2 linked regions of the Caenorhabditis elegans genome follow. The protein of the gene in region 1 interacts with the protein of each later gene in a pairwise test. Each region holds a gene or a part of one and is shown on either strand. Other genes may lie near its edges. The genes, in order: btbd-10 and lin-37.

Region 1 (3,927 bases):
TATTTTTGGTAGAGTTCTAGCTATAAAAGTGGGCAAGGTCATACATTTTAAAGTATCTGTGATGAAGTTGCAAACGGCTGCAAGTCAAGGGAGAATCCTTATGACAAAGATGAACTTTTTCTCACTTGAAAAGTAGAATTACAAAAATGATTTAGGGTTTCCACTTGAATTTTCTCCAAAATGAGAAACCACGCCAGCTAATTTTTTTTTGGCATTTTAAAGCAAAAACTACGGTATGGGACTATAAACAAAATTCTAATTACACTTTTTCAAAATTATGAAGTGCCAAGTCGTTTGGGGATGCGAAAACCCCAGAGAAGATGGTCCACAGAGTCCATCAAAACATTCACAACTTTTCCACATGACTCTTGAAACTTTTTATTTTGAAATCCGAACCCTTGAGGTGTCATCATGACGTAAATAATAATTCGGCGATGGATGGAGATATGAAAAAATGAAGAAAGTTAAGAAAACGGAGAGAGGGACAGTTGGCAACATTCGACCACCTGTTCACTTTTCTAAATTGTTTTCATTTTCTTCTTGGTCTTCGCTTTTTCCTCTTTGCACTTTTTGCCCAATAGAAAAGGATCTAGATAACTCAACTTTCAGTTCACAAACGAAAGAAAAACAAAATCGAGAATTCAGAATTATTATTCATCTTTTTATGAATCTATGATTATTTGTCAGATGGTCAAATGTCATTCAACGCCAATAAAAAGCATTTTTACAGGACAAAGACTCGTTGTATGTAATACAAAAGTCATTTAAAATTGAAATAAAATAGATAACATCAATGTTAAAAGTCTTCACATTTTCAGAAAACTAATCTCGTGTTTAAATTTTCAAATCCAACTAAATCCCAATCAGACTAAAAGGATGTTTTTGAGCTTTGACTCACCATTATCCGAAAATGTTACTTTCATCTCGTGGGGAAAAGTAGAAAAGAAATTATTAATAATTTGCACAGATATCCAAATTTAGAAACGAATTATAGCCTTGAGCAGGTGCAGAATTGCTTTTTTGGTTATTTTCTAAAACTCTAAGCCGATTTGTAATGATCGGATGTTTGGAGATTGAAAAATCTGGAGTCAATAAGCAAATATGTGTTTGTTTAAACATTAAAAACATATGTGAAGAAAAAAAGAGCGTTTTTCTTCTGCCAAAAGGTGAACGAGCCGGAAATAGTGATTTTCTTCCAATTTCGTAGAGCAATTTACGTCACAATGACGAGGGACACACAAAAACAAGAAAAGAAACGGAAATTTACCTTTTTTGAGTCCGGCAGGCGGTTGAGAGTGTGGAGTCGCAGGTTTAGCTCCAAATGACCAAGAAACCTGGAAAAATGAGATTTAGAGGCTATTTTTAGAATTATTGCGGTGAAAAGCGGAAATTTTTAATTTTAGTTTGCAATTTTTCCTCAAAAATACATTTCTGTGAAATACGAACAAGTGTGCGCTTTAAAGTTAATTTATTTCATAGTTTTTTTGCGAAAAAATGTTTCTTATACCAAAAATAACAATATAAACACATAAATATTAACGAATCGTGAGAAAAAGTAGAAAAAATTGATAAAAAATTCTGCAGGAGCGAGAGATTGAAAATACTGTACTTTTTAAAGGCGCACACTTGTTTGTTATCTACGAAACACTGTCGTGTCGATACCGAGAACCGCATTTACGGGTGTGCGCCTTTAAAAATTACTGTAACTTAAAACTTTTGTGGTATTTTTATCGACTTTTCATGGTTTTTATGTCTTCATATCGTTTTTTTTTGATAATTTTTATTAAAAAAACAAATATATTACCTGCTGTGGTGCACGAACAGTTCTTGTTGATGACGTGCTGGCATGATCTTTGCGAGATCTCTCGCTCTTCAGACATCCACGACTTGAAGAGGAACCGTCAGTTTCAGCCCCGGTTTTGTCTGAAAAAAATAAATTATTGATTTTTATTCAATCTGAATGAAAAATTCGAATTCTTACCATCATTATCCAGTGAAACATCAGATTCGTCAGAAGTGTTATCGAAGAGTCGTCGCGCAGGAGCATCTGGCACATTAACGCCATTATTTGCTGGGTTTCCAAAATTTGAAGATGATGGAATGTCTTTGTTCTGTTCTTCCGATTGAGACATGTTGTAGAATGGTGGAAGACGAAGAAGATGATAAGAGTGACAGTTTAATTACTGAAAATGTGCGAAATTTTATATAGTTTTATTTATTTAGGAAACAGATAGTGAAAGTTTGGGAGGAGTTGAACAGTATAAAATAAGAATGACAGGCAGAATGGCTGGGTAAATATTATTCAAATACAAGTATTTTCAAAATTCCGCAAATTTGAACAAGTTTTCATTTAAAAAACACATTTCGAACGGAAAATTTGGGTAAAAGAAAGCTTGGAACATAGTGAAAAAGGACTTTGCGAACAAATAAATTAAAATTTGCTTGATTTCAATTTGTTTTTTTCATTTTTTACAGAAACAACAAATTTCACAGCAGCGTTCTCCTGACTATCACACTTTTTTTTTGAAACAAAAACGAATAAAACAAGCTTGAAATAAAACTTTTGGTACCCAGACGTCTCTGGCCCCAAAAAATTTAAGTTGACGGGTGTCGACAGAGGGAAATGAGTGGCTTTTGGAAGGAGACCTGGGGCCACCAGTCAGCTTCTCGCTTCTTTTTTTTTCTCTAGCACTCTCTCAACTTTACAATACACTCTACGCGCTGCTGCAACTTTTCTGTCAAGTTGTCTGCCGTCTCTTCAGTTGAACTTGGTTTACTTTCGTGGCGAGACACATCAAAGTGACGGCCGACATGTGCCTTTGAGGCTGATGAAATTATTCCCGCAATTTCCAGAAATTTTTGCACTGATTCTGAAATAAAATGACGTTGCAATCTTTAATTTTACTCTTCGTTGTTCAAAAACTTTTCAATTTTATTCTCGTTACAATATTTCACTCTTCATTGACCAAATTTCGCAAATAGAGCGCTTAAATTCAGATTTTAAGTTAAGCATTTAAAATTAATACTCTTTTTTTTTAATAATAATAATAATTTATTACGCTCGCTGGGAGACGTGAAGGAATATAGAATACAAAAGTTATCATTGTTCGCTCGAACTAGAATTGGTGCAGTCGGGCAATCGTTTCCATTCCATTAGAATGTTGTCCTTGTCCTTGCGTTGTCCTTGCGTAGACTCCCCCATAGTGGGCGAGCGATTCCCGAGTGAAAATAATCACGGAATGCCATTTTTAAGCGATGCCATTTTCTATTTCTTGAACTATATATTTTTAAGAATATTTTAATCTGCGCTTTATCATGGATTTTCAATTCAACTTTATATTACTTTTCTAACTTCAATATAAAATTATTTAATAAATATATTTTTATTTTTAAGAAAATGTCCGAGGAGATCAAGCCTTCTGCTCCAGATGCGCCGACTGCTTCGCCAATTGTGACCAGAGACGAGCAAAATTTGGTTGTCTCATTCCTTCAGTTTATCCGCCAGAAGGTTTCACAAAATCAGGCCACTGCCGAGCAAGCGGAAGCTCTTGAAGGTTTTTTCCTATTTATTTCTATAAATTTAGCTTAAGATATATTAAAATTTCAGTTGCAATTCAATGTCTCGAACACTCGTTTGGTCTTGATGATGCCTCATACGCTTTCCAACCATCACGCCCAATTCTCGAACTTTTCAAGAGCGCCGAAGGACTTCCAGAGGGAGAATCTGCTCTTCCAACACCGAGCGATAGTGATATTTCTCAAGCTAACAAGCTTAAAGAAGAAGGAAACGATTTAATGAAAGCCTCCCAATTTGAAGCTGCTGTTCAAAAGTACAATGCCGCCATCAAGCTCAACAGAGATCCAGTCTACTTCTGTAACCGCGCTGCTGCTTATTGCCGCCTGGAACAATATGATTTGGCCATCCAA
Region 2 (3,927 bases), on another chromosome or scaffold:
GATGTTCATCCGCCAAAGTCCCCGGTGCACCATGTTATCAAGCAAGAATCCATGAAGGACATCCCACCGGGATCACCTGCATCTCCAGGAGCATGGTCTGGCTCCAATAGCTCGTTGATCTTTATGCCATCTTCTACTCAAGCACCGGAACATTATGCTATTCCATCCGTTTCCAATGTTTTGATGTTTCGTAAAATGGAACACATTTTCTACAGCTCGGAATCCAACTGGTGGTTGCTCGTGGCACTGGTGATGCTCACAATTTTTGCGTACCGCTCTTCTATGGAACAACACACTTGCTATTACGATTGATGATTATGATTATAAAGATCTTTTTATTTGTAAATTATTTGTTTTAATACGAATTCGAAAAGTCTGCCATATGATAGAAAGTCCTATTCAAACTTCGCGCGTAAATGGTTCTCAATAAAGCGCGGTTGCACTACTCTTTTTTTGTCGCTCTTCGTCAACTTCTGGTAGCGTGAGCCCTTCAAATATCATCATTCAAATGCCCATTTTATCGATTTTATTGAATTTTAGTTATTTTAAATCCAATGATTATTCTCAAAATGAATTTCATAATCATCGGCTGGTGTTTTTGAAGGTTTCTAGTGTGTCCAAACGAAATTTATAGTCCTAAAATATTAACATTCAGTAATTCATAATTGCTTAAGAATTAAAAATTACCTTCTTTGTTCCTTGATATCAAGTATATAGTTTTAATATTAATTCAATATCTTTCAGGTAAGCTAAATCTACAAAATGTCATTTTTCCATTTCATCAATTGCTTCGCGTTGGCATTTGCACCATATTTTATTGTCTACAAATACTCAGGTAATATTTTTTATGGGAAGTCAATGAAACACCACTATTTTTATAGGAATTAACGAATACAGTTCCATCTGGAAATGTGCAACTGCTAGTGGTGGATATTTGCTGACACAACTCGCCAAACTGCTTATCATTGCCACATTTTTCCCAGCCCTCGACAGTGAAGGATTCAGTATTGTGCCGGTATGTAATTAATTTTTCTATTCAAAATTGGAGCTATAAATAACGTTTCAATGAAAATCATTTTAATTCAAGTTTTAAGTGAAATTTACCATAAACCCATCCTCGCCGGACATAATCCTTCGGACACTTCAAACTTATTGATTTTGGTTTTCATTGCCAATCTCAGAATCATTGCAGGAATTCCTAAAAAGCAGTGCTGACATCATCGATGTCATTGGGCTTCACCTTCTGATGACCAACTTCTTAGCCGGAAAAGGAGAAGTTCGATTCGTTGTCGGTGGTCTTGGCTGGGGATTCGCTCATTCTGTTGCTCATCGTCTTGTTCTTTTATGGGTTGGAGCTCGTGGAACCGCTTTCACATGGCGTTGGGTTCAGGTGATCAAATCTTCCTTTTTTCTGAAAAAAAGATAATATTATATTTTCAGACATCTCTTGATTCCTCAGCTGATCTATTGGTTATTGTGTCTCTCGCCTGCCTTACATGGATGATCACCCGCACTCCAAACAAGTTCTTGGTGTCACCGATCCTTGCGATGTGTGTCTTCTCAACATTCGTTTATCAGTAAGTATTGGTTTTACTAGTCAAAAAATGTAAATTTTTTTTTATTTCAGAACCGTTCAACACACATTCTCTCTCTACGGATGGTCTCTCTTGGCATTCCGCTTTGCCTACTCCATCGCAACAGCAATTCTCACCGTCGTTGTCTATTCGGCAAACCGGACAGCGTCCACAAGAAAGAACGAGTAGCAACACATATTCTGCTATAATTCACTTTTTGTCAGTTTCAATACTATCTTAGATTCTTTCAGAATTTATATATTTATTCGAAATTTTCTTCTCTCCTTGTTCATGTTTATACAAGTACCCAAAAATATTTATTGTTTAATTTAATAACTGCTTCAAAAATTGTCGTCCTTATATTTACTCTACAATTTTTATCTCTTTTTATTAAAGGTTAAATACCTTTATTACTTTGGCAAGTATTCGCTGTTCACTGTCCAAATAATGTATTCCTCTCCAATTCTAGATGTCAGAAATAGATCCACTTGCCGAGTTCTTGCTTCCAGAAGACGGAGATCGAAATGCTCGTCAAAATGATCCATTGATAAGCGGAGGTCCACTTCCATTGGAATCGCCAAGCAGAAAACTCACGTAATACTTTCTAAACTTGAAACAATTGTGCTACTCAAGATGCTTCCAGATCCCTGTTATCCTATGATCCGACAGTTCCGGAGTCACCGGATATGAAATTCGCCAGAAAACGTCTGGGAAATCTGCTGACAACCATAAAACATCACCCATCGGAAATAATTGGAGTACTCCCAGAAGATTATACGTAAGTGATAAAATGGAAAATTTCAATTCTTGTTTAATTTTCGGCAGAGTATACCATGCCTGGGGCGAAAAATCATTTTTTTTTTGGTTTTGATTTTGTATCAAAAAGCAAAAATATGTAAAAAAGCCAAAAAAAAATTGGAGATTGAATTTTAAACCTTAATATTTGAGAAAAAGAATTAAAAACTATGCAGAGCCACATTTAGTTTGAAAGAAAAGTAAAATAAATTTTGTACACAGAAAACGTTTACAGTAAATACAGCATTTTTTTTCAGTTTTTTGGTTCCAGATAAATAGTTAATTTTTGTCAAATGTCGCGTCCTGGAATATACATAACAGAAAAAAATTTAGACAATGTGGACCTTTTTGTTTTTCGTAATATAAATTTTAGACATAATTGAAAAATTAGAGTTTCCATTGCATTTTTTATAATTTCAGTCGTGCTGATGAAGAGCCCGGGCGCCAAGGACGTCCACCAGGTCGCCCTCGTAAGATGCCGCGTCACGAATCTTCAACTTCACTTATGGAATCACCACGCAAGACTATGACTCGTGATTCTAAAATTATGTTTGAATTGCGTGGAAAACCATTCGAAATGATAGCTGGACGTTTTGAAGAAGAATATTCACTTGGTAGAGCATGGGTTAAAGGACACATGAATAATGAATATGAACCAATAAAAGCTCAAAGGACAGACTATGCACCGAATCTGGCTGTTGTGAGTGGGAAAGATTAAATGAAAAATGTTATAATTATTTCCTTCAGGATTATCTTGCATGTCGCGAGATTCATCGAATGCCACGTCCAGATAAATCAATTCCTGAGCTGCCAATTGTTCCATCTAGAATCGATGAATTCGACGCTACAGTCGATCCAAGATATGAAACAGATTTGAAAAATGAATACATTCGTCATTGGAAACAAGTCAAAAAAGGGTAACACTTCTTCTGCCATTGAAAATTTCCGTAAAAATTTATTTCTTAAAGTATTACGGTAACTGTGCTCTATGTTAGAATTTCATTTGTCGAATTTTGTATCAAACTATAAAATAAAAAATATTGTACTAGCAATCTGTGATCACTACTATTTCTTCAAAGTCAGAGAATCCAAAAAAAAAAATTTCAGTTGGTGTGCTCATCAACGTCGTCGGACTGCTCCCCATGCAAGAAGCATAGCATTAATCAACAAAATCTACCAGCCTGGAGAGTCGAAAACTGTCGAGCAAGCACTTGGTCTTATTTAAATATTCTAACATGTAATTTCAATTTATCTCTTACTTTCTGATCTTGCTATCACATGTCTCTTATTTCAAAAATCTCACTTTAAAATTCATATAAATAATGGGTTTATTCAAATACATCATCTTGACAATTGTTTTTTCAACGTTTTTCTTCCACTTTTTGGAGATTTTCCTGAAGTTTTCTCGAGCTCGTCAGCTACTTTTTCTTGTTGAATCTTGTTAATATATTTTGCAACTTCTCGTTCGGCAGTTTTCATCAAAGCTTCTATAGCGAATACAGTCTGAAATAGAAATATTTTGAGAATATTCAGATTTTTGAATTTTCACTTGAAATCC

What was found.
Region 2: the proteins of btbd-10 (region 1) and lin-37 interact in a two-hybrid assay, tested with the Caenorhabditis elegans proteins (3 studies listed by BioGRID).

The regions. Positions count from the first base shown.
Region 1 is NC_003280.10:4,903,264-4,907,190, reverse strand, and holds the start of btbd-10 (BTB domain-containing protein), read right to left. Parts: upstream 2,184-3,927; 5' UTR 2,133-2,183; coding exon 1,982-2,132; intron 1,924-1,981; coding exon 1,805-1,923; intron 1,337-1,804; exon of another isoform or gene 1,335-1,336; coding exon 1,268-1,334; intron 1,032-1,267; coding exon of another isoform or gene 952-1,031; intron 1-951. Other genes in the region: sgt-1 (SGTA homodimerization domain-containing protein), read left to right, coding at 3,398-3,554, 3,608-3,927.
Region 2 is NC_003281.10:7,070,669-7,074,595, reverse strand, and holds lin-37 (uncharacterized protein), read left to right. Parts: upstream 1-2,043; coding exon 2,044-2,168; intron 2,169-2,217; coding exon 2,218-2,352; intron 2,353-2,789; coding exon 2,790-3,069; intron 3,070-3,116; coding exon 3,117-3,286; intron 3,287-3,476; coding exon 3,477-3,594; 3' UTR 3,595-3,706; downstream 3,707-3,927. Other genes in the region: ZK418.13 (Pollen-specific leucine-rich repeat extensin-like protein 1), read left to right, coding at 1-312; ZK418.5 (BOS complex subunit TMEM147), read left to right, coding at 763-835, 882-1,015, 1,193-1,390, 1,441-1,577, 1,628-1,763; tmem-17 (transmembrane 17 domain-containing protein), read right to left, coding at 3,711-3,872.